2 linked regions of the Caenorhabditis elegans genome follow. The protein of the gene in region 1 purifies or fractionates together with the protein of each later gene. This does not show direct contact. Each region holds a gene or a part of one and is shown on either strand. Other genes may lie near its edges.

Region 1 (5,585 bases):
ACCAGATTCACAGATCTACTATCAGTGCTTCAAGTTGTCACTAAAACTCGTCAAGATATATCGTACCTGTTCATTCTTAACTCAATCCGTGGGCCACCTTCTGCACTGAAGAAGATCTTTATTTTCCGATAGGCATCCTGTTTTTTGACAGAATAAATGATTGTTTATCACATGATGCACACAAAGTATTCTTCGAGATCTTTGCTCAGAATCAGAAAAAAAAATTATAAATATTTGGTTTGGAAAACAAAAAAAATGTAATTTCCGAATTCTTGTAGGAATGTGCTCTTTACTCTGGTTTGTGCTCTATGTAGGTTGATACTGGGATTCAGATAGGCTGGTGGACGGAGAGAGGGCCGGCATGCAGGCAGGCAGACCGAGGTGATCAGCAGCGGACACAAATCGAGGTTGGCGATGAACCCAACATGCTAATCACGATCCTCGAGTTGTGTCGGATGCTTAAAACCTCATTGAGCCACGACATTTTGAAGCATTGCAGCCTTTTAGTGCACAATTTGAGATTGACTAAAACCGACCCTTTATATGTAAAATTAGTAGATTTTTCAATTTTTAAAAATTAAAATCTGGCTTCAAACTAACTTTTTCAAAAATCCCCGTAGCCATTTTGTTGTAAATTTTGTGCTCTTTCAGAATTTGTAAACTAACTTTATAATGTTTTCACATCCGCTGAGTTCAAGTAGAAACAGTGGATTTTCAGTCATACCTTTTAGTGCTCAATTTGAGATTGACTAAAACCGATGCGAATTTGACGTTCAATTGCCATTTATTTCGATATTATTCATCCCTGATCAACACCAGTCCATTTCCAATTGACCCCCTTTCCGTTTTGTATGTAATGTTTGCGAATTCCTTGTAGGTACACCTGTTCTTTCACTGTCTGCTTCTCTTCCCCCTGCTGTGTACTTCCCTGACTACGCGAAGACGGCTGCAGACACCCACGTGGAATCGGAGGGTTCAACTTTTTCAGTTTTTTTTTCATTGTTTTAGTGAAGTGCACGTTGGTTCAATGGTTTTTTGCATGTTTTTGATTTAATTTTTAATTTTTAAAGCATAATAGAGCTATGTTTCTATGAGACTTTATATTAAATACATACATATGTTTTTTTTTGGAATTTTAAAGTTTTTTGCTAGGGTAACTGATCAAAAAATGAACAAAATATATAATGCGAATGAATATTATTTGCACAAATTTTCACACAAATTTTTTCATGCATCCTGCTTAAAATTCCAATCCCTTTAGGAAAATTGACATCACTTTTTGCTCACATTTCTGATACCCCGTTATAAAATTTTTTTTAACAGTTTAAGACTAAAATTTCAATAAGTAAGAGTCCAAAAAACGTTTTATTTAAACAGAATCCTAAATGTTTTGAAAATTCTTGATACATTTACACCTACTTTTTTCTTGTGTCCTTCGTTCGCAATTCGATAGTACTAGATGTTATCCCACCCCTGCGTAACAAGGACTTTTTAGACACGGTCTCTGATCGAAAACATACTAGATATCCATCTTTTCAAGGTCAGGCGTGTGCAATCACAAATTGAATAAACACCTCATTGAAACAATGCAACTTTTTATATGAATTTTGGCGAGACTCATTTGTTATTTTGATTTAATATTTTCCATTGCATGTTCTGCTAATTTCAAGGCTCTTTTTTTCAAAAGCAGGAAAGCAGTTGTTTGCTAAGTTTTAATTGTTCTTGGGATTTTTGGAGGTAGAATTTTCTCTAATTTTTGCACTGATCTATATTTCTGGTGACTTACTTGTTTTGTTTCTGTCAGGATAACTATTATTCCAAATAATCTAATTCCAGAATTTGTAGGTCCATATGATTCAATCCAGTTCTTCAATAAGCCAAGATTCCCTAGATCTTCCAAGCGTAAGTTGTTTCATTTTAGACCAATATTTTTGACAATAAAAAAACTAACATTTAGATTCTTTCAACTTTCTCTGCTGACGAACCTGAAGACGAGCCGTCGCCTACTGCTGTAAAATCAACAAAACCCCAACGCCCAACTGAATGCCTGATTTGTGGAAACTCAGCAAATGGTCATCACTATGACGTGGCATCGTGCAATGGATGCAAGACGTTTTTCCGAAGAATGTGCGTGTCAGATCGGAGTTTCGAATGTAAAGCAAAAGGAGATTGTTTTGATTTAACAAAACGAAGTAAGGAATAGAGCTGTGCCGATTTTCCAAAAACCTTTTTAGAAAATACGGAATGTCCATACGAATCTTTCGAAACTTTTGATACATGTCTAGCTTATGGCCCAACGGTGCCAGACTGTCCCATCACGGTTTGATCTACAAAAAATGCGACAATTTTTTTGCTCAAAAATATGTTACGTCAGCACGTACTTAACCATACGAAATCAGTTGAGAACTCTGCGTCTCATCTCCCGCATTTTTTGTAGATCTACGTAGATCAAGCCGAAATGAGACACTTGGACACCACGTGTTCAGTTAAATTAGCTACTAGCAAAACAATACTGGTTGAAGTACGAAACATACTATTTTGTCTAATTACCGAACCCAAGTCCTTTCCAGCTCTTATAAAAACTTAGTTGATCTACATTTTCAGAAGTGCCTCTAAAATGCCGTGCATGCCGCCATCAAAAATGCATATCTGTCGGAATGAACCCCCTTGCAATGGAAGTTGATGAGAAAGCAGCGTCGTCGTCAAACTTTAAGAAACTAGTGAAACGAGCGCAGGATCTAGAGCCGGATGATGACTGTCAAGTGACGGCTGTTGTTAATAAAATGCAAATTGTAAAACCAGTCGATTCTATAGAAAGCAAAATGCAAAACATAACCGACATGCTGGTTTACTTGGAGACAAAAGTTGAAAGATTTCGAAAATCCGCGTATAACCCGCATTGGAATGAGTTCAGCGGGCTGGAGTACCTGCTGGAGTCGGAGTGTAGGATCGGATTTGGCGATAGATTCGGGGTAAGTTGAAAATGATTTATGCATATTCTTCAATCCTGTTCAAATTTCAGCCTATGCCCGGATGGCCTCTTCGAAGGGATCAGCTAGGTCCGCCAAGACTACCGAAACCACCATCCCCAGGGAAACCGAGAGACTCACAACACAGTCAAAACATGTAAGTTGAACTGGAAATTCACCACTTTCACACGAAATTTGTTCTATTGTTCAGAAAACAATGGTTCTTCTACAATTTACTGACAACTGTCGAATACGCCAAAACGTTCATGTTCTTTCATCGACTCAGCTCTCGAGACAAGCTGATTCTAACTAGGCACGTGGCATTGGCTTGTACGAACCTTCATATCTCGTACTCATCGATTAGAAGGAATTTAGAGGTTATCATTGAGCCTGACGGATCGGAACCCATGACTTTCAAGTGAGTCCTGGCTTTACGCGTACTGCTCGAGGAGAAGTGTACAATTACTTTTGCAGCGAATAGTTAATTCTGAAAAAAAAATCTTGAATATTTTCAGCGATACCCATTATTCGGCTTCTGTGATGTCTGTTGCACCGTTGATCCGTTGTCAAATTAAAAATATTGAATATTTGTTACTGAAAGCCATTGTATTATGTAATCCAGGTAATTATTTTGCGATGCAATAATACGGTCTCGACACGACCGAAGGTTTTTGGGATAAGCTGCAAAAAAGTATTTTTTTATATTACGGGAACATAAAACTCTGAGAATGCGTATTGCGCAACATATTTGACGCACAAAATATTTCGTAGTGAAAACTACAGCAATACTTTAGATGACTACTGTAGCACTTTTGTCGATTTACGGGCTCGACTCATTTGTTGAGGCCCCACGAAAAGGGGAGCAGAACGAAAAGGGGATCTGCAAAAAGGGGAGATACGAAAAGGGGATCTGGCACTGTGCCAAACGCTATTTTTCTCGAAGAAAACGATACAACGATGCTCCGATGTTACGCATCGCGTGTTGTTAAGCGTATCTTCTAGAAGAAAATTTCAAAAAACAACGTGCGTTGCGTGAGAAAAATTGCGTTTTGTGCGTTTGGCACAGTGCCAGCTCCCCTTTTCGTTGCTCCCCTTTTCGTATCTCCCCTTTTCGTATCTCCCCTTTTCGCAGATCCCCTTTTTGCAGATCCCCTTTTCGTTCTGCTCCCCTTTTCGTGGGGCCTCCATTTGTTGCTTTTCAAAAATCGAGCCCGTAAATCGACAAGTCTTCTAAAGTATTTCTGTAGTTTTCGCTACGAGATATTTTGTGCGTCAAATATGTTGCGCAATACGCATTCTCACAATTTTAGGGTTTTGTAATATTTCCTTGTTTGTTCGCAATTTTATCGATCCTTTTTTAGAAACCTTTTTTTACGAAAATTAAAAAATAACGAATTAAAAATCGTTTGAATATTTTATCTCGTGTACCTGGTACCGTAGTAGAGCTTCAGAAATCGCAACATTTAAAGGGGAAAGGGAATTTTCCAGCCGTCCCCGATCTCTCCGCCAAATCCCAGGAAATCATCTCACTGGAGCGAGTAAAATATGCAGATGCTCTTTTTAATTATTGTCTCCGAAGCCGGTCTGATGGTCCCCCGCATTTCGCCCAATTAATTCAAATTATTGATGTTCTCGAACGTCAGCAGAGAATGCAAAAGGATTTGCATCTACTTCTCGTGGCTCCGAAAGTAGCGAAATTGCCAAAGGATCTTGTAATGCGAGTTATAGAAGATATAATGGACTCGTAAATATTTAATAATTCGAGTTCTCTCACTAGTGAGAATAAAAGTGAATAAATGGGAAATGTACATATTAGTTAACAAAAATCAATAAAAATTACACACACAAATAAGTACATATGTGAGTTATTCAAAACCGGAATCGATATTTGCAGAATCCCATTTTTCGATTATTTCCAAAAACGATTCTTCGAAGGAAATCGGTGTTTCTTTTGCATCCATGGTAGCACCACTACGAATTTGACTGAAAAATATGAACATTTTAACAGATATTTTCTGAAAAAAATCCTACAATCTTGCTGAAAACAATCTGAAAACCAAAAGCGTCGCGATGAAGAACATTCCAGTTAGAACGGCGCCGATGATTGTTCGAAGAGGAGGAAAAACTGGAAAATTTTTAAAATAATTTTAATACTAATACTACTAGCAAAAAACCATTTTTGGAGTTGCAGTCGAACGTCACATCGATTCGCCGATTTTTGTAATCAAAATACTGTCGAGTAGTCCTCGAAGCGAATCCTGAGCACCATTTTGAAAGTCCTTCACCAGCATAATGATAGGCGCGAACTTCCCACTGAGAATTTCCATTTTAAATATTATTTAGGCATTCTTCTAACCGAATTGCCGACGAGAAACGGTTCGCTGAATGTATTTCCCTCTTCGTTTTCCATTTTTAGAATCGTGATTTTTTCCGGCAAGTCCATATTGAAATCCGCAAGCCTTGACAATCTCAAAATCAATTTCTAAAACGTTTCATGTTATTATAACCTACGTATTTAGAAAAAGCCGTTCAATATCCATTTGAATCTGCTTATCGACTCGTTCAAACGCCATATTCTTTCGATAAAGAGTCCATCCTGATGCCTTCAGAAGTACA
Region 2 (5,046 bases), on another chromosome or scaffold:
GCGCTTGCACCCGATGTTTTCTGTTTTTCCACTTTTCTGCCAGCAATGCAATTGATGATGCTGAAAAAGAAAAAGTTGATTATCGGAAGAGGAGAGAGGAAAATGGAAAGAGAGAGAGAGGTGTTAGATGAAAATCGGATGGATTCATTCTTGTCGTTCTCATTCATTTTTGGCACTTTCATCTGCATCAATCCGTATGAGTGTGAGCAAAAAATGAGAGACATCCGATCATCTTCTCCTCATTTTCATATCTTTTTTGCAGCTTCTCATCTTTTGCTCATTTCCGTGTCTATTTGATGTTTTAGTTTTCACGTTCCTATTAATATTATGTTATTCTGCCTGAGAAGCCGGGTTTTTTTATGCAGCTGTTGCCCTTTTAGATGTCACTAAATATCCTAAATTATATATATTGTTGAATATAAATACGGATTTATCTTTCTTACTGGAAATGAAAAATACGATAGTTCAATAAAAGATAGTCTTTTAATTTTTCCTTCTTTGTTAATCTTTTGCAGTTTTAGTAAAATTCGTAGGTATACATACTATGGGACAAGATTCATATTTATTTTCTCATTTTTCCAAACAACTTTTACCTTCACAATTTTTTTTTAAGTATCAAGTCGAAGTTGATAGACCCTATTTTCCACAATTATAAGTGTACTTATTTTTAAAACAACCAATCTCTAACTTCTATTCATCTTTTAAGAATTGTTATTCGCCAAAAACGATATTGCAGTCACCAGATACGTTTCCTATTATTTAATTTCTGATATTCTTTGAAATTTTATTCGCGTCCATTGCTCTGAATTTCCAGCTTTTTCGCAACAAAACACGTTTTGTTCTGATAATTGCTCATGGGTTTGTTACTAGAAAATAACTAGAAAAAAAATATGAGCGCACGTTTCCATTAATCCAAACTTCCTGGAAGTGTCCGTGCTTACTTTTTCCCCGTTTTTGCCCCGACTGCTAATTAAGTTCACCTGAACTTTTATACTCTCAATCCAATCTCCTATCTATCTCTTTCACTTTCTCGGTTGTTTGTCTTTCTTTCTCATAACATCTGCAATGTTCCTTTTCTTCATTTATTTCACTATTTTCGTGTTCTTATTTTCTTTATTTTCTTCTTTTATTCTGATGATGTTGATGACAATGACGAATATGCAATAAGGAATGTAGTTCGCGTAGCAATAGATGAAGAGAGCAAAGGGGGACATTAGAATCTAGATTTATTTTTTGTCTTCCGCTTTTCAGTCTCATTTTTTGGATCATTGCTCTCACAACTCATTTAAGAAAGTTATGAGAAAATTGATTAGTTGTTAAAATACTAACTAGGCTAATCTGTCATTTTCGAAGTACTCTATTTTCTTTTTTAAATCCAATATTTGCGATACTATGATGTTGCTCACAACTAGATGCTCTAGAAACCAAACATTCAAGTTCTATTTTGCCTTACGCGAAGTAAAACTATTCTTAAAATAAGGTAATTTTCTGAAAAATGGAGTGTTCTCTGTCCAGTGTAGGCCAAAAGAAGTCTAAAACATTTTTTGAAGAGACTTTCGAAAAAAATAGACTTTAAGAACAATTTTGGAAAACTAAAATTTTCATTTAGTTATTTGTCATTTTTCATATTCTCGAAACACTTAATACCAATTAGAATCATGTTAACCTTTAAATGAAAACCAAGCTAATCCTCCTACTTTTGGATTATGTTTTTTATGCTTGACTTCCGTTTATTTTTCGTTTAGTTTATGTTTTTCTATGTTCTGAAAATTTTCTTTTCTCTTATTTATTGATTTTCAGGTTTTATTCCTCTTATCACATAATCACAAGTGGAAGGAGGGAATAGGATATCAGAGGTGTAAAACGACCATTGAATAATCAGAAAATTGCTCTTCCGGTCGAAAGTCGTCTTTGTATTTCATCGGGACGGTGGGAAAGACGACACTAGACTGCGAAGAGATACAAAGAAATCATGGAAAGGTTTGTATAATTTAAAGTTGGAAAATCTTGGGGTAGCTTCAATTGTGTTTATTATTTCAAAAATTTTTTTTTTCAGTCTAAAATTCAGAAATACCAATTTTTCTAAAAACTCCAGAAAGAATTAAATATCCAAGTTTTAAAAAATGTGATTTTTCAAAACGACAAACATTTCCATTCTCGATACTCCAACTTCATTCTTAATTAATTAATACTTAATAAAACTTAATAAATAACCAATTTTTTTCAGCTTCAAAGAGCTCGCCCGTGAATATGATGAGAAGTTCAAAGCCTTTCAAGATGATCTTCAAAAATGGGAAGAAACTTCAGAAAGAAAGTGAGTTTTAAGCAATTTCTCCGAGAAAGTTAGGTTTTAAATTTCATTTTTTACAGAGAATACGCAGAGTTTCATCGTGTTCAAGCAGAATCTGAATTCCCAGAGCTGAAAAGAGAACGGGAGGATCGAGAACGATGGGCTCGTGCTGAACGAATCCGCGGTGAAGATGAGAAGAGTATGCTGGCAAAAGAGCACGCCGACAAGAAAATTCGGCTAGGTGTTGCAAAAATCCCACGACTTCTCACAGAGAGTGAACGAAAAATGGATGAATTTGTGGAACGACCCGGTTCAATTCTGAAAGATATGAAGAAAGAACATCGACAATCAGTGTTGGATCGTCTTGAAGAATGGAGCCCTGAAGAGAGATCATTGTTTAAGAGTCGACAAGCAGATCATGTGAAGATTTTCCATGGACTAACCGAGTTTTTTGTTGATAAAACCGCATCGGATCTTGTGCTTTTTTACTATATGAACAAGAAAACCGAAGACTACAAGAAGGACTTCAAACCTAAGAAACGAGTCACAAAATATAAAGTTGGAGCATTTCCATCGGTTGAAGAGCTTGCATACTTTCGAATGATGCCTCCTTTGGATTTTTCTTCATTTCCCAAAAACTCTCTAATGTGTTATTTTTGCTGTCGTACAGTCAACGGAATCGATCTTAATGGAACATTTATGCCAAAAGAGGCTTATGAAATTTTTGGTAAGTATAATGTTCAAATTTGTATTTCAAAATCTTCAATCTCCCTTTATATCCCCTTTTGAGACGAATTCCACCTTTTCACAGACGTAGAGAAAACGACGCAGAACCCTGCAATTTCTGATTCGTTTTGTTCTAGGCGATGTGAAAATTTGTATCTGAAAAAAATAAAATAGGAATACATTTTTCAACCCTACAATAAAAAATTTGAGAAGTCAGAAGTGTGTATCTATAAATATATATTTCAGCTATCTGTCCTGATGAAGATCGAGTTGTTTGTTCGGGTTGTCGTGAAGAAGCTGCAAAACTATATAAAGACAAGTAAGTTGTAGAAATCTTTGAAACATAATTAGAATTACCATAATTTTCAGTCGGTGCTTTGGTAATCGATGCTCAAATCAGAAGAAACGAGCAAATCGAGTCAATAGGAATATTCCTCTAGATTTCGCCGACTTTCCAGTCAGAACGCGTGCATTCATCATGGATAAACTCGGATCGACACGTGTTGCTGTCAAATTTTGTACTCCATGCAAGAATGCCTTGACTCGGTGGATTAATGATGTGAGTTGTTAAAACGGGGATATCTACTATTCTGAAAAACAACCATATGACATCCGAAAAAGTTATCAACGAGGGGTCTGAATTGTACTGTAAAAACGATTTCCCGATTTCTTGTATCTTTTAACCAATACATCCTTTGTGGATTAGGAAATATGTAGTAGTAAAGAGCAAGATGTAGGGTCGTAAAGTGAGAGCTCATAATCGGAGGAACATGCAATTACTTGGAAAGGGTGAATGCGGTGGTCCTCTTTTTTGATACGACACTCTCTCTCTCATGCACATACATTTATTTTCGGATAATAGGGAGATCATAAAAGTACAGTATCATGTGTGATTCGTGACTGATTTGCATTCGAATAAAAAATAAAACATATTCGTTCACTCTGTTTTATCATTTTTTTACTATCGGGAATTTTTAAAATTATATTTTTCGACAAATTTTCGCGCTTTTCTTCCGGTATCTTTTTTAATTCGATTAAATACGTCAAATTGCAAAAGGAACATCGATTGAAAAAAAAACCTAGAAATTTTTATCAGTTTTCGGTGTATTGAGACTGATATCTAGTACGCTTAAAGTCCACTGAAAACCAATAACAATTATTGTAAGACTAAAATTTTCACTTTGAAATGAAAATTAGCAACTCCACATATTTATTCTGAGGTACAACAGTTTATAAAACGTTAATGATTAAAAAATTTTTAGAAATGTTTTGTTCAAGAATGACAATCTATTACTTTTGGGCCCTCTTCAAACCCAAACATTGTGCTTTGCTCGAGATTGATCTTTCTCATTTATATTCTGACACATTCATCTCTTGAAAGGAGTGTGCTGAGAATAAGCAAGCTTCAGAATTGAACGATCCTACTCTATTAAACCAGGAAGTGTTGTATATTCTATGCACGGCATTCTCAGTGATAAAGGCGATTTTGTTGGTCGAAAATTATATTTGTAAAGTCCCATGAGAGAATGGGCTCTTTTATGGTTGGGAAAGAGAACACGGTACCTGTCACCGTTGATATGAGAAATTAAAATGTGAAAATAAAAATATGAAAAGCAACAAAAACAATAAATATTTTCAGGTGAACAACAAAGAGGAAACAATAATGGCAGAACTCTTGAACTATGAGGGACAAGTTGGTTGGACGGATGATGAAAAGACAAAACTTGTGACATTAATTAACTCATCACCGACACTTGATTGGGTTTCCATTTCGGAAGGAATGAATCGTCGACCGAATGAGTGCAAAATGCAATATGATGCTATGAATGGTGTCAAAACTCAGCCAATGATTGAAGAAGTTGATGAAGAAGATGGAAATGGTCAGGAAGAAGGAGGTGATGCATTGGTGAATACACCTACAACATCAAGCGCTGCTGCCAGAAGAAGTGGATTAGCGAGGAATGCTAAAAAACCGTAAGTTTATATGAAAAGTTGAAAATATAGTAACTTTCTATTACAGAGTGCGAACA

Evidence for each region.
Region 2: the proteins of nhr-60 (region 1) and gei-8 purify together in Caenorhabditis elegans (affinity purification with western blotting, with the first as the bait; one study listed by BioGRID). This does not show direct contact.

The regions. Positions count from the first base shown.
Region 1 is NC_003283.11:15,769,493-15,775,077, reverse strand, and holds nhr-60 (Nuclear hormone receptor family member nhr-60), read left to right. Parts: upstream 1-1,836; 5' UTR 1,837-1,851; coding exon 1,852-1,902; intron 1,903-1,957; coding exon 1,958-2,192; intron 2,193-2,604; coding exon 2,605-2,972; intron 2,973-3,022; coding exon 3,023-3,126; intron 3,127-3,180; coding exon 3,181-3,387; intron 3,388-3,484; coding exon 3,485-3,591; intron 3,592-4,457; coding exon 4,458-4,717; 3' UTR 4,718-4,810; downstream 4,811-5,585. Other genes in the region: nhr-283 (Nuclear Hormone Receptor family), read left to right, coding at 1-132; F57A10.4 (Sensor histidine kinase), read right to left, coding at 4,835-4,952, 5,001-5,094, 5,144-5,282, 5,326-5,437, 5,481-5,585. UniProt on the Caenorhabditis elegans protein: Orphan nuclear receptor. Required for embryonic and larval morphogenesis and probably for seam cell positioning and migration.
Region 2 is NC_003281.10:8,117,987-8,123,032, reverse strand, and holds the start of gei-8 (Nuclear receptor corepressor 1), read left to right. Parts: upstream 1-1,800; 5' UTR 1,801-1,972; coding exon 1,973-1,980; intron 1,981-2,227; coding exon 2,228-2,314; intron 2,315-2,370; coding exon 2,371-3,017; intron 3,018-3,262; coding exon 3,263-3,335; intron 3,336-3,385; coding exon 3,386-3,575; intron 3,576-4,655; coding exon 4,656-4,990; intron 4,991-5,036; coding exon 5,037-5,046. UniProt on the Caenorhabditis elegans protein: Mediates transcriptional repression by certain nuclear receptors. Plays a role in development and neuronal function. May play a role in muscle-specific oxidative mitochondrial metabolism.